Lepisosteus oculatus: one gene and its partners. The protein of the gene in region 1 interacts with the protein of each later gene in a biochemical or structural test. Links are inferred from orthologs where the notes say so. Each region holds a gene or a part of one and is shown on either strand. Other genes may lie near its edges.

Region 1 (7,530 bases):
AGCCCTTGAATCAGGAGCATTAATTTGAACTGCTGGACTGTTTTCAGCTCTAAAAAATGTTTGAGATGGCCTTTTTGCTCTTAATTTCATAAGCAACATAAAATACCAAACTTTTTAGTAGAAAAAACTTGTATAGACTTTGATCAGGCGATTTGTTAGTTTAGCTAATGCTTCAATTAAGTCATCAAGCTTGGCTGAAATAAAAATCAGGAATGGGAAATTAAACCACAGTTCTTCGGGGGCACGGCAATAAATAACACATGTGTCTTTAAACCTGTGTCAGAACAAGAACTTCCTTCAAATACAATGAACCAGAGACTGTCACTCTCTATTTCATAGACACAATTAAGAATAGTTATTGTAAAATCTGTTAATGTGAGTTACTTCAACGCTCTTATCTTACATTTCTATTGATTCTTCTGGTCACCAGTCTTGTCAATAAGCTTTAGTTACATCTCTGCAGCATTCCTGAGACAAAAAAATGATTTGTATACTGGAAAGATAAAAGGTTTAAGGTTAGCCAAACCATTATCAATTATTTTACTGTAGGGTGTCCAGTTTTTCAAGTATAAAGAAAAGTGAATCCCCAGAATCCTACACATCAGATGGTACTGGATGTTATCAAAAAAACTGCAAAACCCAGGGGCTGCTTGCATTTGTACCATTTGCTTGGCCGAAACAGAACTTCATAAAACATGAACCAGATGAGGAAACTATGAGATAATGCACTTAAAGAAGAGGAGGCACATTTTTACACAAAGGGTTGCCTGAGCATGGAACAAGCTGCCCTCTGATGGAGATGAAGCTGACACCCTGGCTTTTTTAAGGAATAGCTGAATGGGAACCTCATATCATTTAGCTCTTGGCACCCACAAGAGCAAATGGGCTTCCCGTCCCGTTTCAGTTTTGTACTCAAAACAATGGGGCCCATTATTACCGAACTATTTTTGCCATTGAGGTGCATGTCCACGTCCCATCTGGAGCGCTCAGAGCACACTGCACCCAAACTTGTCAGGAGTTTGAGTCCCTTTCTGTCGGCTACCTTCGGTTCCCAGGATATCGCGACGGTCAATTTACAAAGCGCTGAGGAATAATCCTGAAAGTTCTTTGTGAATATTAATCATTTATTATTAAATAAAAGTCGATAATTTATTTGAGGGCGTTATGTGGCCATGCGTTATAAGGACGTCTTTCTGAAAGATCTCTACAGCACAATTTGTGTCCATCGTCGTGCAACTGGAAACCACAGGGATTATCGACCGCTTTTTTCACCCTCAACAAATTGTTAATGCGAAACTAATTTTAACTACGTTTTTTCCCCAATCCGGAAACTGTTCTTAATCATTACCTCAATAAGTGCGACTGCTCATGCTGTTCTGGCACGCTTTAAAAATGAGGTTTGAGCCTTAAAACACAGCACAATACTGTGCATTAAGCCAATACACTGGCTTTTACCAGGGTGATGTCAGATGTGTGTCTTATCATAGCACGTTTCTTTATGCAAGAGAAAGGAACTTCTTCAAGGTTCCTTACTGTTAAAAAAGGAAATCCGAGTTCCAGTTTGCAATTTAAAGAACGATTTCTTACTGGTGGTGGAATACGGTAACTAAATTCAGTAAGCCTGGGACTAGTATAAACTCCAATAAAATGTGTCTAGATTTTCAAAAACACGGTGTTATCTCCGTCTTTTCCAGGACAATAATGAGGTGGATAAGTGTTAAAAAAGCTGAAGCATGCATTAATCGTCCAAGATCTTAAATAGTGTAAAATTATATATCTAGTCAGAAGAAGGATTCGCCCAGATTTATACATCGGAATGAGCTTCCGGTTCTCTGAGGAATCCACTTTGAAAAATACAATATATCGACGCGCATTCAGCTATGACATTCAGGTACCGTGTTTATATACAAGCGCTGCTATAAATCTCTGCAACAATAATCGATTTCAAACGGGTTCCCGCTTTGCTTTGTTATTAGCGCGACCAGGGAGGCGTCACTTTCGCGTTACAAATGGTTTTGTGTCAACAACGCAATAGTCTGCACCCTTTAAAGAATAAAAAATGCGAATAAAGTAAAATTATTGTTTTTTAAATATATCTGATGTTGAGTGGAGGAATGTGACTTCCGCAGTGCTACAATGAGGTTTCAGTTTTGCTGTGGCGGGCGACACCCTAGTCAGACTTGATTCACAAAGAGCCGCAGTCAAGAAGCAGCAAACTGGAAACCAGCAAATACTGTAAATGTTTCGCCGCAATTAACCACCTGAGCCCTTTCTACAAACCGTAAGAGAAAACGGGCAGCAGCATCTTTCCGAGAGCCGGTGGCTGTTTTCCCTTCGCCTCTCTGCAGCAGATCCTGCACTAAGTTTCCAGGCTCCGTGCGCTCTGCAGGTTAATGGGAGCACAGCCGAGACAGACGCTTTATCGCGTCAACAGCAGCTTGACTTCGGGAAAACCGCCGCTTTTTTGAGCCGTTTTACAACTCGCACGATTTTGTGTGTTGCAAGAAATAGAAAAGGAAAGCTCATCTTACAAATAAAAAAACCCACCATCAGCGGGGTGAGCGATGCAAACGACGCCTTTTATACCTCGGTAGAGCTGGGCGGCTGTTTTGATTTTGGCGGATCCGCTGCTCTCCAAACGCCCGGAGAACCGCAGGGGAAAAAATACCGCGCACACGCATCAATGAATAATGTTTATCTGAAGCTTCGTTAGCTGCGAGCAGAGAATGATTACAAAAGCTGAGAAAGCGGCACGATATTTGCTTACCAACAAAAAACCCGCTCTCCCGAGCGGTGGGAGCAGTGCAGACCTCTCAGAGACAGCGCAGTCCAGCGCACAAACTCGCGATCCTCCGGCCGGAGCACGGCTGACCGGTGTGCTTCTCTCTGCGCGCCGACCCGGCCGCTGCTGCTGTCCGCCGCCTGTGCTGGCAATGCCCGCCGCCGCCAGGCGCTCTCCCGCTGCTCCGGGGAAGGGCTCCGCCGCTGCCGAGCAATGTGCCGAGTGCGCACGGCGCCGCCGCCCAGCCCAGCCCGCTCATCAATCACGCCTCCTGCGCTCCGCGGGCGGGCTGCTCGCCGTGCCGGGCGGGGAGCGGGGCGGGGCGGGAGACGAGGGGAGGCGGGGCCGGCTCTCGGGGCGGCCCCGGGGACAGCAGCAGTGCCGGGTTTAAAGCCCTCACGCCACATGTCGGGTCCCCGGTCCAGTTCAGTCCGCGACTAAAGCAGCTTCTGCGAGCTGACATATCCAGCAGGCAAAGGAAAGCAGGAGGAGGGTACAGTTTTGGAGAGCTTACGCTTTTTTATAGTTCATCCCTTAACATGCATGTCAGATAAACACTGACGGGAGCAGCAGTCGCGTTAAATAATATACTGTTATATATCGCGTTAACTGTTGTGTACAATATGTGCATGTATTTAGGTAATATGATTTAGTCAATGTTTAAATAAGTATTGTTTACGATTTGCAATTGCGTGTCAAACACTTATCAGCTTTAAAACAAGACTTTCCTGTTTACGAGCATAAAAATTACAAGAGGTCCTTTTTGCTTGCCTGGGTGCGAGAAATGTAATGATCTTTTTTCAGCTCCGTGAAGATGCCCCCCTACAGACAGCGCAAAACGATTAAACCCACCTCATTTGTTAGTGCTATTTGTTTATATGCGTTTATGCCGGTTTGTGCCCTTGAACGTAGCATTTGTGCTGCTTTCGTTCCCGAGATATAGCGCCTTGTTTTTCCGGTGATCATGTGACCATACAGTGACCCCCCTTCTGCCGACTTCAAGCGCCCTGTTACGGTTTAGCTCGTTTCCTTAACATTTTAAAGGCGATCAGCATCCATAAACATATGAGCCTCCTTTGATGTGAAAAATACCCATTATTCCCTGTATAGTAATGTACGTAAAATCACCGTGATTGTAAGATCTATGGGGAGGGGGGGTTTATAAGGCACGTCTTTCTTTTCTTTCCCTACCATGACACGCTCTTGCCAAACACGTAACTGTGGGATACCATCGCGACAGGTCATACCAGGCCGCAGCATGTCATGACAGGGACCCCATGTATATCGCATGTATATCGCGGCAGCGTATATCACGACTGGCGCCTTGCTTCCATGCCACCCTGATACCGCTGTCACATCAAAGGTCTCATATCAGGACATGATATACCCAGATAGGTTGTGTTGCGACAGCATAGGGCCTTTCATGTCGCAACATGGGGCGGGGCATTTTTGCCGGGGTATGTTATAGCGATATGCGGGCTACATGTCGCGACATGGGGGCGTGCGTTTTGTCGGGGTATGTCATATGCGCTGTGGCGCTTCACCCAATCAGAGTGTCGATTCTCACTCTTCACCCAATCGCGGCCCGAGCTGTTCGGGGGTTTAGCCAATCACGGGTCTGAGAGCTGTTCAAGCCAGCAGCGCCGGGTGGATCGGCTTGTTACTGTCAATGCGAATCTGTTTTTAAAATGCTTTACTTATTTGCAAAATAACTACATTGGCTTATTTTTTAACGTCTTTATTGATTCACAATGTCCCCAACTCTTAGAAATAAATACATTTGTTATTTGCAATATAACTGTCTCCGCTGCTTCCTGTAATTAATACATGGTATTTGAACAATTTTATTCTTATATTTAAGGTGGGGGAAACACCTGCTTCTTTGTACTTCAAAAATGAATAGAAATGTAAAATCTACGATCATTATATTATTATACTTGTGCTTTCAATTTTGTTTTTATTTTTTAAAATTATATCGATCTTGAAACTAATTCCTAAAAATGTGAATATGGGCTCTCATGCTGTACCAGCGGTAATTTGGAAACTGGTGGAGTACACAAGCAATACATTTTCGAGAACTTGGTTAAAAATTAAAAGAAAACACCTAACCCAATGAACTAACATAGTAACTCCCCTCTAAATGTAAGACTGTTTATTCGTGTAAAGGCTGCAAAGTCTGTGGTCAACTGATCAAAAGATCACAACTGAAGGATCTGGTGGACGTGACTTTGGTGTTTTGTACGTCACGGAATTACTTCACAGCCAGGAAAAGAAGGCGCTGTATTGAAATATATTGAAACATCCACCCCACCCGACCAGACAGACTAAGGAAAAAAATTGCCCCCATTGTTTTAATCACAATCAGAAGTTCAAGTACTGATATTGTTGGTACCTGTAAATTTCCTTGTAGATAGTCACGAAAAACAAGGCGCTATATCTCGGAAACGAAAGCAGCACAAACGCTACTTACAGCGACACAAAACGGCACAAACGCAGCACTAACGAATGAGGTAGGTTTAATCGTTTGTGCTGTCTGTAGGGGGGGGCAGCTTCACGGAGCTTCTCCAGGCTCCAGGAGTCCAGTATTTCCTGCTTTCTGTTCTTCTTTGTGTCCCAGTATCTCATATTAGTGTTCAAAGATTATAGTTTACATTACTGCCATTTAGTTAGCCTGAGATCGAAGATCGTTTTGCGCATCCTTAGCTTGGGCAGGATGAACGGGCTGAGTTTAAAACTACAACTCCCAGGATGCATTAGGCACTCCCCTCTGTCTCCAGGAAGTCCTTTCCGCGTTGCTAACCAAACTATGTGTGTTTAACATGTATGTGTACGCACATCTTTTAAGGCTGAACTGATACCTGAATAAAATGCATTCGCCTTAATTCGCTTGTACAAGGTAAGATTTATTTTATTTATACAAAGGAATAGATTCCAGCTGTTGGTGGATTACTGTTAACATTAATAAACTTGTAACATACACATAATCCCCGCCAGCAAACAGTACACTGTTTATTAATCGCCTTAAATTGATCATTAAGAGTTTCAAGTAATTGTACTTATATATGCAACTGTTGTGTGCGTATGTAATCACTCATGTCTCCTGGTGTGAACATTTTAGGATTCTGTGTTTTCAGATTGGCAGGTGAATTTTCAGGTGATGTGCACGTTGCGGTTTGATACGCATGCAATCACCAAGCGAGAGTGATAACTTCAGAGTACTGTGTTACCAGCACGCCGAGTCAGTCACCAGGCAGGCGTACAGAGTAGCTGACGCAAAAAGATTTTTTTAAAGTTGGATCCCCAAGTCTTATGCCCAGACTGGTTTCGCTGATGTGCATGAATGTAATTTGCTCAACATGCTGTAACCAAGGCTGTTAAGTTAAAGTGAGTCTTCCGTGCAAATCATTTTACATTTTCAAAGCATTGTTTTGGAAGTGCTATAAAAATCATTGGAGAAACCGAGTATCTAAAGGCTTTAGGCTCTCCCTTTTAAAAATAAGGAACACCAACTTAAACAATTGATAAGTTAAACACTTCTTCGGTTCAGCAATCTTCAGTTTCTTTTGTGCTGAAGGGTATTCTGATTTTTGCTTCAAGCAATCACTTAATTAATTTATTTAACAAAACACACGTTTAGTTGATCACAACTAAAACTGTTCCAGTTTAGGGAAAATGATTATTTAATGATTACCCGCACAACTTGCTGGTTTTGTGCTGTCTGTGACTGGGGTTGGAAACTCCTGCACCATACAGTGAAAAAGGATGAACTGAACTGAACTGTTTTCAAGTGACAATTCAAAGGAACATTCATCCATTTTCTCCAATTCAGGGTTGCGGGAGAGCCAGAGCCTATCCCAGCAAGCAATCGGTGCACGACAGGGTACACCCTGGATGGGACACCACAGGTCACCCACAGAAAAAAACATGCACACACTCACACCAGGGTCAGTTTCCCAGAAGCCAATTAACCTACCAGTATGTCTTTGGGACTGTGAGAGGAAACCTGAGCACCTGGAGAACACCCACATGACTGTGGAGAACATGCAAACTCCACACATATAGCATCCCAGGAATTGAACACAGGGCCCCAGTGTTGGGAGGCAGCAAAGCTAACCACAACACCACTGTGACAACCCGCAGGAACATGTTTCCAGATTTTTGTAGTCTCTTTGTCCTTACGGTTTTCCTTTAGTACCATATTTCGTGCAATGAACTCTTGATGACTAAGAATGATTAATCTCAGTGTTATGTTCACAAAATGAACATATCATTTGAAGATAAAATAACTTCTCTTCTAATTTCTGTGTCTTATTGCAGAGGTAGTCACTGTCTTATGTAGATGAGTTGTTGTTTGTGTAGTGTGTAGTACAGCTGTTTTTCAGAAAGCATCTGATTTAAACATATTATTAAGCTCAATTGTTTATGTCAGTCTTTGATTATGTGTTATACTAGTATTGTCAAAACCTGGAGTATTGCATGCATATTTTTTCATGAATGAAGTCACTAATTATTTTAAGTGTAGTACATCTTTAGTTATTTCACAGTGATCCCTCTCTCTAAATTTGTTGAACATTTGTTTATCTTAGCAAGTTACACAGTAAAGTTCTAGTACATTACCTTTTTGGAGGCATGGGATGTGAAGATTTCTACAAATCTAAAAAAGTCTGTGTAGTTTCAAAAATATTTATATATTTTGCCCCAGAGTAGTTAAATTAAATCTTTTTCTCTAACTGGATGCTTCCTTAGAC
Region 2 (7,712 bases), on another chromosome or scaffold:
AAGTTTACAAAATCTTTAACGGAGCCAAGAGAGTCAATAGAATGAACAGTTTTATTGTTTCCTCTTAAATCGCTGGCATTTTACCGTAATGAACAAAATCTACACTTTCACTTTATTTTTGTACACATTATTGGACAAAAAATAGCACTTTATGTCAAACTAACCTCTTCCCAGCATGCTTGCTCACGGTCCTGAAGGCTGATCGTCCACATGTCACTTAGCCTGGAGTATTACAAGAAATAAATTAGTGTATGCCTTAAAAAAACAAAGATATTATAAACAGAATTATCGCGAATGGTCTAAGACAAGATGAAAATTATTTACCTTGCATTACCATCATACCCAGCAAAAATCCAGAGTTTATCACTGTACACTGTTGCTCCGTGAGCTGATCTGGCAACAGGCAACCTGCAGAAAGGAAACCAGAGAGGTGATACTGTTTCAGAAACACAACAGAATTATGCTCTCTTCAGCTTCTATGCAAGGCAAAATAAAAATGCATGACTAGTTTACTTTCTTAAATCAATGTATGAAAACCCGATTGTTTTTCTCTCTTATGAAGATGATTTTTTGATCTGGCCAAGAATTACATGCCTCATTAAAGGTAACAATTACTTCATTCTTGTATCTAACTCTGAATGCCTTAATGCTATGCTGATGTAAAGAAAAAAAGCTGGCTTTGAGGGAACACACATCAACAGAACAATGATTGATAACACTGCACGGAAAATACATTCACGAGGAACAACAACACCCAGGAATTAAGTGTGTGAAACATCTCCAGAGTGTCTTCATCACAATTCGGCTTAACCTGGCTTGCTGACCTCCTGGCCACAAGGAAGCTGGAACCCCTTGCAGAGTGAGGAGTGGGGCCCCAAGGGGCAGCAACACAGGTGGAGATGCAGTGGAGAGGGGATGTAAAAACGTTTGCAAAGCAGAGTAACAGGTTACATCTAATAGTTATAGTCTTTATGAAAGAAAATGATGTCAGGTTTGACTACAAATGATGTACAGCTGAGGTTGACAGACCTTCGATGTTGTCTTCCCTCCCAAACGCTCATTTTGAGCTCCATTTATAACAGTTTTGAACTGATGTACTACTGTACCTTCCCTCTACCTTCCATTCCGTCCACTGGCCTGTAGCAAACTTGTACTCAAAAAGATCATTTTTATTCTTCAGGTTGGAGTTGGAGTAGATGTCCCCAGTGTAGCCACCTGGAAATTTGAGACCGTACGGTTACGCATCACCAGCACCAGAAGAAAAGGCAAATACGTTTATTAATAAGACAGCCGTGTGACATGGAAACGCTTTTTGTTTAACAACCATAATAATGAAACAAATATCCATCTTCTAACTGCTTCCAATAATGCTGGCAAGCAGGAGCAAGGCAGGGGACACCCTGGACACAGACATCGCAGGACAGAAAGACTCTCGCATTTGGGGCCAGTTTCCTCAGAAGCCAATTAGCCTACCAGTATGTTGCTGGATTGTGGAAGGAAACCCACACAAACATGGGACAGAACAGACAAACATCATGCAGACAGCCCTCCCAGGTCCATAACTGATCTCACTGTGCCACTAAATCCCCCATGAAACACATTTTGCCTTAATTATGCCTCGTCAATACTGCATCATGAACATATAAACTGTGATAGAGGGGTAAGCTGCCTCACCAAAAACAAACATGCTGCTTCCATGTACTACAGCTGAATGGTGATATCTGGGAGCAGGGGGTGAACCAGTCGTAAAAGCCCTGGCAAGAAGAAGAAAAACAAATGACCAAACCAAGATGCAGACCCAAAAGCCACTTTAAAATAAAATGGGTCATAAAGTTCATCGTGGAGGGGGGAAAAAAAGTTATCTGTTGACATAAACGGTGTATAAACGCATTCTCCTGGAATGGAGAAGCAGGGATTACCTGCACCAGGAGCAGTCCTTGACATCAAACCGCAACAGATCATTCAGCATGTTCTTTCTGTTGGGAACGAAACAAATGTTCATACTTGCTTTCACCCAAGTCGCATGCTAAAATTACGACACATTAAATATCACCCACCCATTGTCTCCTCCGAACACGTAAATTGCATCCTTGTAGGCCACAACTGTGTGCTTACTGCGCCTGTCAAAATTCAGAAGCGAAAGCCCGGAATGATTACACGGTACTGTACTCAGTTAAGACGCGGTGCAGCATTGCAGTAAAATGTAGTAAAGAAAACTGATATGAGCTCTGAATATAATTTAAAAATCTTACAGCACTGTACGTTCAAATACACCACTGACATCATAATGCACATATCAAAATCCGTGTAAAACAAGACTCGCGAAGCTTTCGGAAATCACATGCACATGACGGTTTTGCAGTTCAAAAGCAAATCTCCATACTTAAAAAAAACATTTTTTTTTACGAACATATCTCTGTGAGGTCTGCGTGAGAGTGCAACCGCACCGTTAGACATTTAATAAGATCTGCACCTACAGGATTTACAGAAAGTTGTATTTTGTTTTACCTAGCACCCACAAACTCATCACAGGGTGGGAGTCTCCTCCAGCGATGGACGGTCTCAATCGGCCCAAAGTTCAGGGTCAGGTATTCGACACTGTCCGAGCAGCTGTGGTCAAAATCAACACTCGGGGCGACTTTAGACTTGCAAGACATTGTTCCCGGAAACCATGACATTCAACCGCCGCATAACACGACACGGTCAGTCAATGAAACCCCAGTATTAAAAACGGATTTACTGTCGTGCTAGCGAAGGTCCCTTCATAAACGTAGTTTTAGGGACCACGTCTACAAGACACAGTGGTTTCTGCGATGCACCACTGCACCAAAAAGCAAAAAAAAAAAATTAAAGCTGACTTTAAGTAGAAAATCAAGACGAATGTAACTTGTTTGACTGGTAAAAGTAAATACAAAAACGAAGCAAGTCCTTCGGAACAATGTAGCAAACGCTACATTATTTTACTGGAAAAAACGTTACAAATGTAGCAGAAAAGAAAAACACGCAACACACACCAAATAAACAGCCATTACACTACCACGCCACACCTCTTGCGAAAAAGAGATCCCTGGGTATTGTAGTTTATGTGTCTCAAGTTCCATTTGCAATTGATGCGTAGACTAAACAATAAACGACAACAAACCCCAGAAATCAATTCGGTTAGCTGGCAAAGTCCAATGCACACTGGGAGCAAGTCGAATTCGGAGAAGGCATGTAATTGTCATTGATAAACTTCAAGTAGCATCTTACGTGTTACTTTTGCAGGGAAGATGCTACTTGAAGAGCTTAATGTATTAGGTTGCTTTCGTTTAATGATCGAACGCTGAATACATAAACATTAAATCTAGTTGATACGTAGAAAAGTAAAACAACTCCCATCTGTAAAATACTGTTTTTTTTTTCAGAAAAACAGCTGAAGCTAAAACGTATCCACCATTTTCAGTGTGATGTGTTTAAAATTAAATTTAGACTTAATTATTTGTTTCTCTGAAGAATTGCTATTTGCATTGAAGGCAAATAGATAGCGAACAGATGAAGGCTGTAGAGTCATTTTAAGAGTCATCTTTTACGAATCAACTCTCTTCCAGTATCAGTCACTGTTACTGACGATTGACAGGAAAGATAATGAGCCTCTTGTAATAGTCATAATTTTGTTACAAGTACTTATTCCCGCTATAAGATAAGGACGCTCTTATTGCACAGACGGTATAAACAGGCAGAGCAAATCAATTACTCAAAAGAAAAAAAATGAAAAAAATGTGAAACCACCATTTAGATATGAACAATCCCCTTACACTTTTTTGCCTATTCTAAAGCATTGACACCGCATGGTTGTTTTGTTATTCAGGATGGTAAATACATTTTTTTTTGCAAATATGTTTATAGTGTTACCGATCTGTTTTTTGCTGTCATGCTTTTGCTTTTTTCTTGTCATGCATGGATCAGTGTGACAGGAGCGTAATTCCCACAGAGAAAACCTCAGAAACTTGTGAGTGAAGCACAGCATTATCTTTATCCTGAGTTCAAAGAGTATAGGCGATCTAGTTCTGCACATGCATAATTAGATTAGTGCTGTCTAACCCGGGAAGCACTCCCCTCACCACAGTGTGCAAGGATGAAACGAGGCACTCACACGGGAATATCAGTGGTAGGAGAGATAAAAAACTTAAGCAGATCATGTCAAGATAGTTTTCCAAAAAAAAAAATTAAGTAAGTATATTTACCAAAAAGAACCAAACCAAAACTTGATAATAATGAATGAAAATAAGGATGCTCAAATCGTGTTTGAATGATGGAGGGGCAGAGCGGTTGGTCTTAACTGACATTGATAAAATGTTGTGCTATTAGGTCAACCTTACTCCCAGGGTCAGTTGTGTGGTCAATGCAATGCGAAATGATGCAGAATGAGATCTTTGAGAGGAGAATGCTTGGACACACAGGACTGCCAAGCTAATTTTGGAGAACAGCCTAGAAGCACATTACCAAACTAGGCAATCTGCACATTAATGCATGATTAGGCTAGACAATAAGATGCCATCATGGCCATCATGAACGCTCTGTACATAGGTTTGCATGTCAAAGTGCTAGGAAGATGTGCTCAGTATGCAGAACAGTAGTCAACAACAAACCGACACCTTTTATAAACAATGACAATCTGCAAGACCTCTAGACCTTTTATGTCTCAGACCCCTTACCAACTTCTTCACTTCATAGCAAATCCCAAAGTGCAAGATTAAGTATGACTTTGGAAACAAGCTCTGAATCACCAACATATTAAAGCGGTGGTTCTGTGGCTAAGGATCTGTGCTTGTGGCTGGAAGGTTGCTGGTTCGAATCCCACGGCCAGTAGAGGAATCCTACTCCGTTGGGCCCCTGAGCGAGGCCTTTAACCCCAAGTGCTTCAGGGGTGCTGTCACAAACCGCACACAGACATCGTTGCATTCCCACGGGCATCCGATTACTAATCAACTTCGCTCATCTTTGGCTACTTAAACTCCCACTCTGCAACTTGTCCTCTCTCACTATTGAGGTTTCCTCAGCCAAAGCTACACGTCCTATTCGCAACTTAGTCCGACCTCTCGTTGTTCTTGTGATCACCTGGATTTCTGACCCCTTGCTCCTGATCTCTGTCCTCGCTCTAGCCTCCCGATTTGGATTACGTTCGCCTAAGGAATCCAGTTTTTTCTCTCTCTGCCTCCGCACAGGGTCAATTTTCCTACCCTTTTCCCTTGGCACACCTGACAGGCGCTGTATAAATGGCTGACCCTGCGCCCTGACCCCAAGCTTCTCTCTCTGTCTGTGTGTCTCATGGAGAGCAAGTTGGGGTATGCGGAAAGACAAATTCCTAATACAAGAAATTGCATATGGCCAATAAAGTAATCGTATCTTAAGTGATCTTATATCTGCAAACAAGTATTTTAAGAGAAAATGGTCCTCATGCTGAGTGATCATAGAGCTTAAAATAAGATAGACGACTAGATTAATCTTTGACCTTTCTGAGCAGAAACTAGTCAGTGCCTTTCAGCAGCTTCAGTTTCCTCATATATCATAGTGAGATAAAGTTACACTAAATAACCTCAGTTGAAAATTTGCCATTTAAGTACAAGGCTAAAGTAATATGCCTTATTATAATTTTAGTAATAACCTTGAAAATGTAACAAAAAATGGATGAACTCATCTAATTGTTTTAAGAAGAATGGGAAGAAGTACTCTCAACAAATCTGATAAAATTCAGGAGACATCTAGACATCTAGCCTTTGGAAATTAATTATCCAGTTCCACCCCAAAGTCTGTCTCAAGAAAATCTAATACTAAGAGAAACAGCAATTAAACACAAGTTAAATAGTTGCAAAAAAGGGCAAAAATGAAACTCCCAAAAGCCATACGAGGGAGCTAGAGACAACGTTTTCCCTGTATAACCGTTTCAATGAACATAGATAACAGACTATTATTGTGGCAGACTATACAGTGTTTTACCAGCTGTTTAAGATTGAAACCTAGAATTACGCTCTTTTGAAGGGAGGGAGGGGAATCGAAGACATTATGAAGAACGAAATAATAGTATGAGTACAATAAATCTTCATTGTATGAGCAGCCGATATAGTTATCCTTAAAAGTATCTGATTTCGGAAGCTTGCCTCAAAAAATTATGCACTAAGTTTTGGCTCGAAAAGCAAATGTGTGGTCTGAATGGAGACATTACAGGTCATACTGTAATAGCATACTACAATATAAAAAATATCAGGAGTACTTGGCGTCACAGTTTTTGTATCAGGTTTTACCATTAATCCAGAGGACAGCTGAGACGTTAGTTTTTTGTTTAATAGAAAGGCTTGTAATCTGAACCTTCAGCAGTAGCTATCAGTATAATCTGTAAAACACATTATACCATTTAATTCACTAATTAAACCTTTTTAATGAGTATTAGTTCATAACACAAGATCTACATGAAATGACTTACAGCCTATATGTTGACGTTTTAGACCAATTCGTTCCCCACAACTTTCTTTGAGTTTCCCCATTCTTTACTTGATCATGTTTCCTTTGCCTTGAAAACATCTTGTGTGTGCACTGCCGTCCGTTCTCTCTTGGACATATCTGGTTTCATCTAAAACAGTGCTCATTGTTCCCTATAATGATATTTATCGCTTTTACAAAACAGTATGTCTGTTGTTATGCTCAAGCTTAGGGATTACCCAGCATTTATAAGGTGCATTTATAAGGTACTTGATTAGGAGCCCTACCAGGTCATTACCACTGCAGAGCCTGTGCTTGCTGCAGCTCACAAGCTGTTCTCTAGACTGGAGCTGAACTGATAGACAATGGTGTTGTTGACTTCCAAACTAGTGGAGAGGATGGCTTTTTTTGTCTCCTTCGTGGGCTTTGTCATAACCTGTGTGGTCACTTTTCTGCCTCTTTGGAAAACCCTCAACGCGGAGCTCAATGAAATGGAGAACTGGTACGAGGGGCTGTGGCACACCTGCATTTTCCAAGACGAAGTGGGTCTGCAGTGCAAAGCCTTTGACTCCTTTCTGTCTCTGCCCTCAGGTGTCATAGCTTCCAGGGTCTTGATGATCTTTTCCATGGGAACAGGGCTCCTGAGTGTCTCTGTGGCCTTTTTTGGACTGGAGGGCATAAATCTGGGAGAGGGCAAAGAGCACGTCAAGAAGAAGCTCCTCATCCTTGGAGGGGTGCTGTCCTGGATTTCGGGGATCACTACACTTTATCCCATCTCCTTGGTGGCTTATGTGACTGTGGTGGAATTCTGGGATGACAACGTTCCTGAAATCGTTCCCCGGTGGGAGTTTGGGGAGGCTCTTTTTGCAGGATGGTTCTCTGGGCTGTTTCTTGTTCTTGGAGGGTCGTTCTTGTTCGTGTCGCTCTGCATGAGAAACAACATCCACTCACAAGTGCTCTCATCCAGCATGACAACCCAAAAGAAACCGCAATACTTAAAGACAGAGGTGTTATAGTCTGGATTTTATTATCTGCTCTTATCGTATATTTCTGTTTAAGGGGAAGGGGGACCTAGCTTAACATTTAAGTAATGGTGTGTGGAATCAAGAGGAAGTAAAAAGAACGTAAGCAGACCTGTTTAAGATGTGTCAGGAAGTCTTATTTTATTCTTTACAACTATTTCTAGTTAGGTTTAAGAAATTAATTTCAGCCAAAATGTTGAATTTCCAGTGTGGTGCTCCCGAACTCTTTTTACT
Region 3 (6,848 bases), on another chromosome or scaffold:
ACGTATTTATGCTTAACAGAATAACAAAAATTACAATACAAACGAGAGGACACATAACAATTCAAGACAAAAAGATAGTCAGGGGTGCATATTACTACATTAATTCAAGTTATGATTAAACAAATTAAATAAAAATAGGGTCCGCACCGCTTTCATATTTTTGCACTTTGAAATAGTCTGCAAATACCCCCTTACACCCATTTTAAAATGCCCAAAGGGTTCTTCTCAGGCCACTTCATGTTATGTATATAATAACGCGCCATTATAATCATTAAATTGATTACAAACGAAATTGTAATATTGTTTTCGATGGGGCTGAAACTTAACATAACATCTTTTTCATCCAAACAAATATCAATATTGGTTTCTTTTTTAATACGAGTCTGCAACTTAGTCCAGAAAATATTTACCCTGGGACATAACCAAAACAAGTGCTGAACAGGTCGAAGTTTAATCGCGCTCGCCCTGCTGATCTGTGCTCTGACGTCTCAGCGCCCCGCGGTGCCACCTGCGCGCCGCTCCGCTCACGGGAAACTCCGACTTGATCCGCGCGTCTTTCACGCGCCCCGCGCCCACGCCCACGCCCACGCCACCGGGAAGCCGAGAGCACAGAAGAGGGGGTGACAGTCCTCCAAGGGCCACGCACGCCCCACACTGGGGGGCGCCCATGGCTGAGCCTGTCCGAGCTGTACAAGTAGGACAAGCATGCTCACAAGCTGGTGCAAAAATAAACAACCGTTCAGTTTCGCCACTAGTATAAAAACGTATAGACGTTTATTCCCCAACACACACATTTTTAAAAATGCAAATTCAAAAAAAAAAAGCTTCCAACAGTGAATGTAAAGCCTCTATTGATGCACGGAGCCACCGCGCACTCTGGAGATTTTCGTTATCAGAGCTTCGACTATTTTATTTTAACCGCTTGGGTGCAATCCGGTTATTTTCTTCCGGACAGAAGCGGCCCCCTCCGTGGGAAACGCATTTTGAACGCCGCCAGGCGCATCCCAGATTTTTAAAGGGCAAGCGCAGATGCTGAAACATCCCCATCTCCCCGCCGTGCGGGCGGTATGAGGACCCCGGGACACCGCGCTGATAGATCGAGCTACACTTCGTTCATGTGAATTTTATCACGAGAGAAAAAAAAAAACCACTTTGTGGCGCTCACATTATTTTAAACTACGGGTCATAAATTTTTTTAAAAACTTTTTTTCTCTCCTCGCTGAGCGGGGTGTAAAACGCGAAAAGAAATCAATGATCCCTTCGGGAGGGAGGGAATCAGTTGGGTGAAGCTGCGGGACGTTATCTCACGATGCCTCCGGGAGCTGTCCCCATCTGGGGCATTCCTCAGGACAACACGCTGACCCGAAAATGCGGAACGACCACTTCTACTTTTCGGAATGAATCGCACTTCTGCTCCTCCCTGGAAAAAAAAAATCGTTTACGCTCGGATATAACGTTCTGTCTGGAGCTGTGATTTTTGGGGGATTTGCAACTGTACCTACAACCCTGACCGAAGTAAAACCCCGGCAACGTGCCCGCTTTCATAGTGTGAAGTCTTCAGCATCAGTTCAGACCTCTCTGTGCATCGCCTGCCCGAGACTAAGCCCGCTTGTTTTCAAGCGCTGGGTAACCCACGAACTTCCAACAGCCTTTTAAAAATATATATATTTCACCGTCGTGATTTGTAAAAAATTACACGTCGCGTTCACGTCGTCCTCGAAAAATAAATAATGCATGTAAAGATGTAAGCTGGGACACACCACTTACCAAGGCAAGACTCGATCTAGGTCACCGACACACAGGCGTGGCTACAGTGGAACAAAAACTGTTAAGTTTCAAACGCTGCAGCAATTTAAAATGCCCTTCGTGATCTGGAATACTAATCCTCCGTTATTATGTAAACAAAAAAGAGTTCGTGTTTGTCGCCGGCAACCTTGGAAGGACGCAATGGAGCAGAAGAAAAAAAGATAACAGTCGTCCACAGTTTGCCACAGATGTATTTTTATTCAACGCAGTCCATTTCCCCAGCTAACAAGAGAGAGCAAGCGAAGCGAGTTAACTCCTTAAACGCGTTTGCGACCACAGGCGCAGCTTGTCAGCGGCTACGCTGTAGCAGGACGAGCTTCTCGGTTTAAAACACCGCCAGGGAATTTTCAGAAAGTCTGGCAGCTTCATACGGTCCTTCGGTTGTCCACGCACTGTCTAGCTGGTGCTTGAAAGGAGGACAGAGAGTAATTGTCTTGAAACACGGAGAACGAACGGTTTTTCTCTCGCGAAAAGTAGATGCAAGCAGAAGAACGCTACACGAACGAAAGAGACCCTTTTTTTTCCCTCCGAAAGCTCTGCCCCCTTTTTCTGCCCGCGCTCATGTGATTTTATTTTCTCCTCCGTGCAGGACAGCCGAAAAAAAAAAAGTCGAAACCTTGCACGGACGAGCCCGGAGAGACAAGCAGCCGTCTTCATGTGCTCCAGCCCGGAGCTGGGCGCAGCTGTCGCGGCGGTCACACGGAGAGGCGAGGCGCGATCTGCCGGGCGCTGTTATGCTGGAAGGAATCCGCTGAAGTTTCCGTAGAGAGAGTGGGTTGAGGAGGTGTGGTGTCCCGTCTCAGCAACGTGTTGCGAAAGGGAAAAAAAAGCGAGAAGGGGGAACATTCAAAGCCTTCATGTGCGAGATACGGAGACCGCGCAGAGCCCGGTTGTTGGTGTCGACTGCAAGCCATCTGCAAAAGCAATGATGTTTCAAAGGGTTTTCCACGAGGTTCCACCTTAAGCATCAAGTCCTACTTTTCGTCCTGGGGTTGTACCCGAGGGTGGGCGCTGGGCACACGATCTGTACTTTTAACTATTCCCGGGCTGGTGCTGGTAACGGGTTTAGTCCTGCAACGTCTTACCGCTTACACGCTGAAACCAGCTATAATAAACGATTAGGGGTGTCAAATAAGTGTCAGCAAAAAGACCCAACACACACAACAAATTATAGCGAAAGACATCGCCCCGTCCGTATACTGTAATACTGGAATAAACACTGGCGGTCAGAAACGAAACAGATTTTTTTTGGAGGGAATGAGAACAACATTCAGGAAGATGCAAAAGTTAAATAACTTCCCCTGACTAGTGCATGAAAGTTATTTATTACTTGTCAATGTTAGAAGTTTCTTTTTACAGGGAGATGTTTTACAGGTAATCATGTTCCATTAGGGTGTAGTAAACACCAAACTGTACACATTGTAGTATCACAACATACACAAAGATATATACACAATCATGCTACACCATGGCCAAGGGATTCGGTGTAGAGCTCTTGTGTCCTCTGGTTGGTTCTGCAATCGCTGATGCTCCTCCCGAGACTATGAACAGTTCTTTCCAGATGTGCAAGAGTGAGGTAACACCATCGTTCTGCTTCCAGTGAGAGCAACGCACGCAGACACAATCAGACAAGTTTGTATTTCTAGGCCAGAGTTTCTGAAGAAGAGAAGATCTTGGACGAGCTTTTAATCTGAAATAGCAAACAGACAATAAACTACTGCCATTGGCCATCTAGTGGTTTCTGGCAGAGGGTGCAACAGCCTCTCCATCACTGCGCAAACATGGCCTTCGGTATATTACCCAGTTAAACCACTGAGAATCTTTTAGACAAATGGGTTGGATGGATGTTCTCCTCCCATTTCTTAACCGGTATGTCTGCCATGTGTCTACATGCTGACATCTGAGCAAGGAAGACGTGTGTATTAATCTTTAGAAGAGATGTCATGTACTGTATGTCACAAGCGAGCCAATGTTCCTGTCCTTTGACACGAGTAAGCAACAGACAGTTCCCATGTGGAAAGAATACAAATAACACATCTTGATCAGCCAAAGAGGGAGGGATATGTTGAACACCATGATATAGTAGATAATTGCACAGTGTCTGTTTAGCATTTAATCTTTGGCAGGGAGCCTTGGATCACAAGTAAAGCCCCAATTCTCTGCTGCAAAAACGCCCTCATTTGTTTTTATTTTTGTGAGCTTGTGGTTATTGTGCTACTGTGAGTTTACTAATAAATGTACAGCAATCAAAGCTATGTGACTTAGACACTATTAAAAGGAGTTTTAGCTGAAACCAGTGCAACAATAGATGAATTTTCTCAGAACACCAATAGCTGTCCAACGTCACCACTCATTTAGTTTTAGCACTGCACTGACATTGACAGTATATTGAAGGGCATGTCAGGCAGACTGCTGGGACCCTGTGCTTTAAAACCTCAGTTCAGTCTGGGCTGTCTTTCCTGTTAGACCCACTGCTGACTCTTCTCGAGTCCTACGGCTTGACGTCCAAGTCCCCCCGGAGTCTGTGAAGAGCTTCGGCCATCAGCTCACACGCTTGCTTGTGTTTCGGCCAGTGTTTCACCTGACATTCCCTGCAGGCAGACAAAACAGGTTAGCCTTGCGAGTCTAGAAAATACTAGGGGACCCAGATTAAAAGATTTCGGCCGGTGCCAATTCTAATTGCATTTGTTTTTTGTTGCAACAGACATGCAAGGGGGGGGGAGGGGAGGAAATAAAAAAAAACTCAGTGTTACAAAACCATGCAGTAGAAAAAAAGCCAAATTTTCTTTCTTCCTACTTTCTAAAATATTTTGAAGCAGGGATACAGCCACATAAGGTTGGCTGCCCACCCATTTTCATACTGTCCAATAATTATTTACAAACACTGAATGGAGTCTCACACTGCCGGAGGGTTTTGTCATGACTGTGGGCCTTCGTATTAAATGCTGACACCGTCACACTGGGTCCGCTGCAGCTGCTCTTCGTTCTGCACAGCACTCTGGGATTGTCTAGGCCCGCGGGCTGCTACAGGATGTGAACCCACTGCGCCTTCCCCCGACGGGGCGTCTCACCTGCGGCAGTACCACTCGCTCTGGCACCGGGAGCAGCGCTTGGCGGCCTCACAGCCACAGGAGCCGCACTTGGGTTTGTCAGGGATGAGGTTCTCCATGACATCCAGACTGTAGGTCTGGGCCAGCCTGACAGGAGAGAGAGGGCAAGGTGACGCGAGGAAGGACACATCTCTCTCTACCCACACCTCAGACGCCGCATCTTCGAGGTGAGTGGCTTCTCAAGGATTTTGCGCACTCCTCCAGATTTACATCATACAGTACTAAGGGACAAGTTATAGGTTTATTCCATGCTGAAAAAAAGAAGAAAGAGAACACAACGTTTCGGCCGTGGAGCCTTCTTCAGGTGTGAGAGAGACAGGGAGTGACTGCCCTGTCTCTCTCACACCTGAAGAAGGCTCCACGGCCGAAACATTGTGTTCTCTTTCTTCTTTTTTTCAGCAGGGAATAAACCTATAACTTGTTCCTTTGCAGCCTACGCATGCTGACGCAGCTACCCACCTGAACTAATACAGTACTAAGGCTTTTTTTAAGCAGCCCTTAATAAATACAAATGTCCTTAATGGGGTAAGAAATACAGTGCCTGGGAGAATAAAGTAAGCATCTGTGTCATATTTTGACTTGATCATTAAATACTACATGTGGCTCTGAAAGGGGAAGTAGTTGTGTTTCAGAATATTTCCAGATATTTAGTAAGCAAGCTGTGCCAGGGGGTAAATTGGTCAAGAGAGCACATGCCTTTATCCCAATTAACACCGCTCCCCACCACCACCATCACCACCACAATGAACAGCTTTGTTACTAAACATTCTTCTTTCAGACCCAAATCAAGTGTTTAAGGAGAAAGCCTTATCACACAAGTACCTGCTGATGCCCTTTCTTACACATGAGACAAATGCTTTGATTGTACTTTTATTCTGCTAGGGCACTACCCCCTATAGATCTCAGTGGCAGGTCACAGTTATATGCTGCTGCATAAACTGAGGCATGTTTGTGTAGGCCGCACTCTCCCTCTGCAAAGTCCTCACACTCCTGCCCCTCTGCCTTACCTGTGTGCCTGTTGCCTCAGGTCCTCTTCAGAGGGGCTGAATGCTTGCTTCACTTGGTACTTAGCAATGGCCTTCCACTTCCCAGAGTTCTCTTTCATAATATTATTCCACATTTCCGGGATCTACAGATCAAGGCATGGTGAAATAAAAAAAGAACAGGCAAGGAAGAAACATCACCGCGATTTAAAGAACACAGTAGGTGAAGTGATGCCTTCTTGTCAAGCAGAAAGGAGTCACTCACTTGCTTGGTAGGGGACTAGTTCTTATAATGCGGTGCTTTACCTGTTCCAGAATGAGGTCCTTCTTAGGGGGTGCGGGGTCAGTGATGGCCAGCTGGCTGAGGAAGCGCTGGAGCTCGGCCAGATTGGGCAGCTGGTCAATCAGTACCTCGGTCAGGAAGCCACGGAGCTGGGAATACACTCACAAACATCAGGATCGGGCCAAAACAGGTCCTGCGCTTACAGTAACCAGAGCACAACACACAGCAGCCACTATCTGCGCTTGCCTGAAGCGAACTGCATCACACATGGCTGCTCTGCTCACTTAGCTACACCACGGCTCACCATGTGTCAGAATTTATATCATTTTGTGTTGGAGAGTATTTAACTGAATGTGATTCTGAAGATGTATTAAATACTGTATATATACTCATATAAATATACCTGTGTATACACCGCAGGTGAGAGCCGGTGGAAGGCAAAAACATATACCAGGCCAGTGAAAGGAAGATGTTGTACATGAGGGGATTTTCAGAATGACCACGTTTTTATCACCATTTATACTAAAACCAAACCACAGAAAGCATGTTTTTAAGACTAGGGTATATTGAAACGAGCAGGCACCCTGATCACTATATAACAATAATTTCTATAAGCTCATGAGCTTTTTGAATCATTTAAAAAATGAAAAAAGTAAAATTGAATTC
Region 4 (7,270 bases), on another chromosome or scaffold:
AAATTCTCCAGCTGCTCCTCACTAGGACAGACGCTCAAGGCTCATGTAAGAAGCTCACTCAATACAGGGAAAATATAAAGCCAAAATGTACCAAACCAGTCGCATAAACAGAGACAGAACATAAACCTTTCAGAATTAAATTAAAATGAATAACAGCCATAACCATTGATTAGCTTGAACAACAGAAGCCCATTAGACGATGTGCTTGATGGTCAATAATAAGGCCTGTCTTTGCTCCTATTGCCCGTGTCCTCCTTTTATCTTAAAAGCTTTTTACATAATACAGAAGCAAATTAGATTATTTATTCACTTCTCTTATTAGAGAATATAGATTTTTGCCGAGTGTCCCTTGTATCAAAGGGACTAGGCAGTACAAAAATGCATCCTTCAAACACAGACAAAATGACCACTCCTGATCTGAAATCCCCACGTGCTGAATGAGTATGAATAGGATATGTCAACATCGTTGAGGGTCACAAAGTGCATTTGTTTCCCCATAAAGAGAGAGATGTAGGGGTCAATTAGTTCAAAGAGACCAAATACAGACTGTATTATGTTTGATGAAAAGATTCACTTGTTTTTCCACTCCATGCATAGAAACAAAATGAAACAGAGGAGCACTGACAACTGTATTTTAAGAAGAAATTAAATGTAATATTTCTAATAGGTGTAAGAGGTTTATATTTATAACAATGAGGGTCATTGGAGGTGGAATTAAAAATATGTGCAGCCTTGTAGATGTAGACCTTTCTTTGCGGACAAATGATGAGATTTGAACCCTCACAGGTGGCTCACAGGTATCCCTGGCAGAAATCAGCAGCACGACAATGGCAAACCTGCTATCAGCGCCAAGATAAAAGCAGGATAGTCAAGTGAACTATTCCTAGATTTTTCAAGGGGTGTCACTACATTGCCCATTCAAAGAGAATCCAATCATCTTTTTTCAGTGGAGTTTTTTGATTGGTTTTCTTCAGATCTGCCAGGCAGCCACCAGGATCACAGGATCTCCTTCACTGTTAATCCATGTTCAACACGACAGTTAATAAAAGGCTTTTGCAAAGAGATTAGGGCGCAACATTGCTCAGAAATATCTGAAGGGGCACACAGGCCAGGTCACGCATTAACTCTTGACTGCCACTCAAAGACAATGGCTTGTAAAAAATTACCCTGCTGCACAATGAAGTGTAAAGTGGCAAGAGAACTCCAGCCCCTTGAATCTAATCACCACGATGACTAAAAAACCAGGCCTTTTTCCAATATTTTGCCTTTTGAATTACTGCAGAGCCCCCAGAATACTGAATTGGATCACTGCAAGGCAATCCGAGTGGGTGAATTAGTCATCGGACAATCGGACACTGCGAGGCTGGGATGGGGGCAGCTGACAGAGGAAGACAGTGTCCGAAACCTGCAGCCCCAGAGAGGGAGACGGCACCGGCACTCCTAGTGCCACACATGGGAATTAGCAACAGCCCCACAATGAAGCAACACAACCGCTGAATAGTGAGGTTTAAAATTTAATTCAATCAGAGAGCTAGGTGACCAGGATAACATTGCGTCAAAGTCAAAGATGCATTGCAAGGACAACGCGCCCGACTGCTGGGTAAACTCTCCTTCTGTATCGGTCTCTACCATCCCATTCAGGGTCATGGGGGGCCGGAGCCCACCCCAGCAAGAAACAGGCACCAAGCAGGGCGCACCCTGGGTGAGGTGCGCAGTGTCCGTTCCCTACCTCTCTTGCAAATCAAAACCACAATGACACCAGGATATCCAATCAGATATCCTGAAGTTCAGTCCAGAACAGGCTGCGCTGTTTCCCTTCAAGACTAGAGCACTACAATACACACCGAACTCCTCGCCAGTGTCTAGCAGCTGCACGACTGTACTGACGGAAGAAACTCGTGTCACATTCCACCATGCTTCCGAAGACAGTTTGAGGGAGCACCGGCACTTCTAGTAAAACTGGGAGTAAACTTCCCAGCTCGTTGGAAGTCCCAGTTATGTCCTCTGTTGCCATGTCCTTTTAATAAGCCTGCCTGGTGATCACGTTACACAGCAATGTACAGTGCTGCACTCGTCTCGAGTACATATTTATCCTCTGACAATCACGGAAACGTCTGAGAGGAAAAAAACGCATTTTCTACCCGAAACGGAAACACGTCTCAATAGGAGCAGAACACCTCATACTAACATTTCTGAGCCTCTGACATTGCAGCCACATCGGACTTTGGGCAAGGGCACGGTGTGCTGTACACTGTACCGACCCCAGGCGCGACCCACAGATTCCCCGACACCGGTTTATTACCCCGCATTACTCCAGAGCCGTGCCAGCAAAGGGGCGAGAAAGCCTTCGTATTTACAAACACTGTGGGGGTCGCTGTGGGTGATAAAGACACAACACTAACCCCCCCAGCGCAAAGCTCCTCTCTCACGCAGAGCCACAGCTCACGGGATTCAATTTTCCGAGAACCCCGCCTGCCTGGCTTCTCCAGCACAGATCAAACCCACAGCTCGTAAATGTAGTATGCAATTCGCCGTAGCCCTCGTTAAAATAAAAAAAAAACAACCCAGAATCTCAAGCAATCTGTTACTGAGCGATGTTGAGCGGCGCCAGCTCTCACGGAGCACACCTCCCAGGGAGGTCGGAGCGCTTTACCTCCGGCTGGGGCAGGTCGGGGTCCAGCTGAGTGAAGCTGTGCAGCACCACGGGGCTGGCCTCGCCGGCCACCTCCAGCTTCACCCCGTCCCAGATGCTGCGTATCCTCCAGGCGCTGGCATCAAACATCATATCGGGGCTCCCCGAGCAGACGCTGTGCACCTCGGACTGCATCAGGTACACCATTGGTGACGGGGATCCCGCTACACCGGAGAAGACCCGAGACTGCGCGCCCTCTGCTTCATGTCCGACGGGGCTGGGTGTCCGCGAAAGCCGTAGTCCTGTCTCGGACGGACGGGGGCGTCTAAAAGAGCATTGCTGCGCTTGTTGCTTCTCTCGCCTCTGTAGTTCTTGCTCGGCTGCTACTTTCTAGCGCTGGCCCCGCCCCGCCCCCTCCCGAGCGGAGGCCCCGCCCCGTCCCCGCCCCCTCCTCCCTCCCCCCGGCCCGGCAGAGGATCCATGACGTCATTCTCGACCCGAGCAGACGACAAGTTCCGAGCGAAGCGGGGGGGGGGAGAGAGAGAGAGGAAAGAGCCATTTCTCATGAGCTGGACCCTGGTGCAAAGGGAATGGTGTCGCTGCTAAACGTGGTCGAACCCGTCCCATCCCATTTACTCTAAAACAAAAAAACGGGGCAGCGCGTCGTTTTCTAGCAGTTCGGGCACGAAAGCGTGAATGGGCTCTCCTCTCGGGACCCAGCGACGCGGTGTTTTCTGTTGACCGTATAAACAGTGGGAAGTACTGTGGCCGAAGCTTCTGGATAATTATGGTCTCCACTAAACCCTCCCCTGAGCTTTCTTTCCGTGACACGCGTTTCTCCGAAGTGCGGGGGATCTGTTTTTCTCCTCCGTGGCCGTGGGTGGTGCCAGAAACGGAAGGTCGTTGTCTGCAGAACTGGGGTCTCTTCGGGATAACGCATCTCAGCCAGGCAGCTCCTTCAAACCGGTCAAAGACCCGTTTAAAACGAGCTATACAGCAGCACGGGCTGTTCCTCGCCTTTAACTGTGCTGCATCACAAGTGCTTGCACATTTCTTATTTATGAGGGATTACTCCAGTGACATAATCTGGGCGCACTGAAAACAGCCCTGAGTTTATTACCTGTGTTGAAACTCTGTGTGCTGGAAGTATCGACTGATTTGGGAAAAGGGATTAGGTCTGGAGAGGAGATGATCCTTGTTTTTTCGGGGGGGGGGTGGGATGCAAGATTAATGGCTTTTACTCGGAATTGCAGGTTCCCGTGTTGGAGTCGTTCTCTCTACGAATGCAGAATTGCCTTTTCTGGGCTTTTTCAATGCCAGCAACTCTAGCTTTGATTAGCATGTCTCTGTGCTGGGAATCTGAAACGTGGCTTTCTGGCGGCATCTAATCCAACACCCACCACGTACAACAGAAGGGAAAGCTAAGATCAGAGCAGGTTTTAATCACGTGCGCGCTTTCTTTATTTTAACAATCGCAGGGGTGCGATTTCCCATCCTGCTCCTGCACTGGGGCCAAACTGGGGTCTGAGTGTTTTACACTGAACCCATAAGGGGCAATGAAGCTTCATTTGACCCAGCGGGCAGTCTTCTGAAATGCAGAAGAAAAAAAAAACCGCAACTGCAGACAACATATGCACATGGGACTCGGAAGAGAACAGGGAGGGCGAGGGACAAAACACCCGCACTCCAATAAGCAGCACCCCCGTGTCCAGCGGCTGCTGTTATCACCTGCGCCCTTGTCCAGGGACACCCGGTGGGAGTCTGGAACAAGCTACCCGCCCGTGTTTTTGAAGCTGATTATCTGTGTTTTTTTTTCACTTACTGTTTGGATGATCCTGGGATCAGTCTGGCTTGTAACCAGTGAATGTTCTACCTCCATGGCAAGCTGACGCACCAGCTTCAGCTACAGGGCAATGAATGGGCATTTCGGCTGCTAGTGTCCACAGCTCATATACAGTAGACCCAGGGGTTGACTGGAGATGACCCGTCAGCTTTTAAGAATAGCTGGATATTGTGGGTATAGTCATTCTCTGGTCATTGTTCTGTATAAAGTCACACTGTGGTCACGAGGGGTTAGCAGGATGCTTTGTCTCCTTTACATCACGATGAAAGGACTCTCTTATAAATAAAATAAATCTGTTTCTTTCCCAATGACCTTATTTACAAGACACTAATAATGTTGATATTGTAAGTCGCGTTTCCTCCATCTACCCACTACAGTACTGAACTGGAATCAACCTGCTCATTTTGGGATTTGTGTGGAGCTTGCATGTTCTCCTCATGTTCATGTAGGGTTTCCTTTCTGGGTGCTCCGGTGTCTTTCTACAGTCCAAAAACTGGTGGGTTCATTGGCTTCTGGGGAAACTAGCCCTGGGGCGAGTGTGTGTGTGTGTCTGCGTGTGCCCTGTGATGGACTGGCGTCCCGTCCACAGTGTACCCTGCCTTGTGTCTGTTGCTTCCTGATAAGTCTCTGGCTCTCTGTGACTCTGAATGGGATAAGTGGTTACTGAAAGTGATGTGATGTGAAAAACAGAGTCACAATTTTTGAAGGCAGGTCTTCCTCAGTTCAATATTCTGAGGTGGGTAGAACATATACGTTTTACTGGTGCCAGTGATGTTCTTTGCAGTTCTCAAAATATTCTGGCAAAATGTAAGTTTTTATTTAAGACCTTATTTGAGAGACAGTAGTAACACCTCTTCCAGCAGCAGCCTCAGCTCTCCCAGTAGGTCTCCCCTCCAGGTACTGGCCAGGCTCTCACTGCTGGGCTTCAGCGGGCTGCCAGCTGGGAGCTGCGGGGCCACAGGGCTGCCAGATGGGGTCACCAAGCTCACTGCCAGTCACAGTCAGCTCGAGACACAACAAAGACAGGAACTAGAGATCTGTAGACCACGGGGCCCAGTCCACACGCTTAAACTGGAACCAAAAACGGGGGCTCCGTTATTCCACACCCCCAGAAGATGTGCACCCCTCCGTTTCTTCCGAATCCGGCTCCAGTGGGTGGAGGTGAACATCTGTGGAGGAGAAAGGCAGCCCCACGTGTGCAGCTGCTGTAACTTGATTTCTAAGACGGTTTTGCTAATTTGGTGGTATTCTGCCCCTCTCCCGAGGAGGAAGTAGTGAGGGGGAGATTAGTGCACCGTGACGGCAGGCACTCGGCGAACTCTACAGCAGCTGCTCCGCGGAAACGCAGCTGCACAGACTGTACCGGCTCCTGCCACCAGCCTCGTCCCCATCCTCCTTCCCTGTCTTTTTGCCTTAAATCTCTCCAAGATTGACTCGATGTTTAAAGTGTCATCAATATCCTGCTCTTCATACTTGAAAACAAGTTTCTACTAAACACTACTGCTTTGGAAACATCAATTTCCGTGAACGCTTAGTGTTTCCTTTTGATTGTTCTTGTTCTTGTTCTTGTTCTCAGGTCTTGTATCATTTCACAGCAGGGCAGACGATCGCATTGCTGCCTCTTCTTACTGGGTGTGTGCGTTACAGTATTTCAGCCTTTCACGCTGTGGGTCCGGTGGCGTCAGGGCCCTTCCTTGCAAATATTTCCTTCTCTCCTCACGAGCCCTCTTGTTCCTGGAGCAGTGCTTGGAAACCCCAGAGCCGCGGGGGAGCGCCGCAGTGGCCCACAGTGTCGTCGGGCAGGCGAGAGTGTTTCCGTTTCTGGGACAGAGACTGCCCGAGGGCCTGAGCCCCAGCACTCCTCTCCGGCTGCTTCCTGATGCCAGAGGCTGCGGCAGGAACACTGTACTACTGTACCTCTCACCTCCAGACCAGACCTTCAGGTCTTTGAATCCCACTTCCCATCCACCCTACATTCTTGTTCTGCTCCCTCCTGTCGCGCCAGCTGTGAGTAGAGAAAGCCGCCCCACCTGACTAGACTACAATGCCTTTCTCTGCCAATGGACAGGCACACAGCTGGGCTGCTGTGCTTCTCTGGTGCCCCCAGGAAGCCACGATTAATGGAACACAAGCATGTAACTGGTTTTCTAAAGGATTGCTACTCATAATCCGTATACCTTATATTCATCCAGAGACTACAAAACGAATCTGGCCGTACTTCTCCATCGATCCGTTTTCTAACTGCTTCTTCCAATACAGGGGGGCTGGAGCCCATCCTGGCCAGCAACAAGCACAAGGCTGGACACACCCTGGACAGGACGCCAGTCCATCGCAGGGCACGCGCACACACACACACACACACACACACACACAGACACACTCGCACCAGGGCCAGCTTTCCCAGAAACCAATTCGCCTACCAGCACGTAGGAGGAAAGAGGGCGCCAGCAGGAAAGCCATGTGAACACGGAGACAACATACAAACTCCATGCAGATAGTACCCCAGGAACTGAACCCAGAGCCTCAGTACTGTGAGGCAGCAATGCTACTATTGTGCTACTGTGCTGCCCTACAGCATTTAGGCTTCCTGGAAACCTGTCTTCCATAACACAGATCCTAGCACTGGCTTAATAATCTGCACATTCCTAGACATGCTACACACATAGTCTGAAATTACATTTTCCAAAAAGCTAAGATTCTAATCATGATTAATATTTGCATGCTGTATTGGAACTAGAAATTAAATTCCCCTAAAATATCATTTAGAAGGGAAATGCAATCCTGGAATGAGATCA

Evidence for each region.
Region 2: of the proteins of GTPase HRas (region 1) and lztr1, one has a biochemical effect on the other in vitro, tested with the Homo sapiens proteins (3 studies listed by BioGRID, with this or other methods). The link is inferred for Lepisosteus oculatus from reciprocal best matches to the Homo sapiens genes HRAS and LZTR1.
Region 3: the proteins of GTPase HRas (region 1) and rassf1 form a complex in vitro, tested with the Homo sapiens proteins (2 studies listed by BioGRID and IntAct, with this or other methods). The link is inferred for Lepisosteus oculatus from reciprocal best matches to the Homo sapiens genes HRAS and RASSF1.
Region 4: the proteins of GTPase HRas (region 1) and ral guanine nucleotide dissociation stimulator form a complex in vitro, tested with the Homo sapiens proteins (4 studies listed by BioGRID and IntAct, with this or other methods). The link is inferred for Lepisosteus oculatus from reciprocal best matches to the Homo sapiens genes HRAS and RALGDS.

What each region holds. Positions count from the first base shown.
Region 1 is NC_090716.1:17,135,941-17,143,470, forward strand, and holds the start of GTPase HRas, read right to left. Parts: upstream 3,017-7,530; 5' UTR 2,768-3,016; intron 1-2,767. UniProt on the Homo sapiens protein: Involved in the activation of Ras protein signal transduction. Ras proteins bind GDP/GTP and possess intrinsic GTPase activity.
Region 2 is NC_090717.1:5,506,353-5,514,064, reverse strand, and holds the start of lztr1 (leucine-zipper-like transcriptional regulator 1), read right to left. Parts: upstream 3,021-7,712; 5' UTR 2,679-3,020; coding exon 2,509-2,678; intron 2,121-2,508; coding exon 2,058-2,120; intron 1,977-2,057; coding exon 1,920-1,976; intron 1,755-1,919; coding exon 1,675-1,754; intron 1,216-1,674; coding exon 1,107-1,215; intron 409-1,106; coding exon 325-408; intron 223-324; coding exon 165-222; intron 1-164. Other genes in the region: cldn26 (putative claudin-24), read left to right, coding at 6,822-7,472. UniProt on the Homo sapiens protein: Substrate-specific adapter of a BCR (BTB-CUL3-RBX1) E3 ubiquitin-protein ligase complex that mediates ubiquitination of Ras (K-Ras/KRAS, N-Ras/NRAS and H-Ras/HRAS).
Region 3 is NC_090699.1:64,638,060-64,644,907, forward strand, and holds the start of rassf1 (ras association domain-containing protein 1), read right to left. Parts: upstream 3,021-6,848; 5' UTR 1,768-3,020; intron 499-1,767; exon of another isoform or gene 411-498; intron 1-410. Other genes in the region: zmynd10 (zinc finger MYND domain-containing protein 10), read right to left, coding at 4,298-4,397, 4,878-5,003, 5,924-6,045, 6,206-6,331. UniProt on the Homo sapiens protein: Potential tumor suppressor. Required for death receptor-dependent apoptosis. Mediates activation of STK3/MST2 and STK4/MST1 during Fas-induced apoptosis by preventing their dephosphorylation.
Region 4 is NC_090719.1:15,006,273-15,013,542, forward strand, and holds the start of ral guanine nucleotide dissociation stimulator, read right to left. Parts: upstream 3,021-7,270; 5' UTR 2,840-3,020; coding exon 2,654-2,839; intron 1-2,653. UniProt on the Homo sapiens protein: Functions as a guanine nucleotide exchange factor (GEF) activating either RalA or RalB GTPases and plays an important role in intracellular transport. Interacts and acts as an effector molecule for R-Ras, H-Ras, K-Ras, and Rap.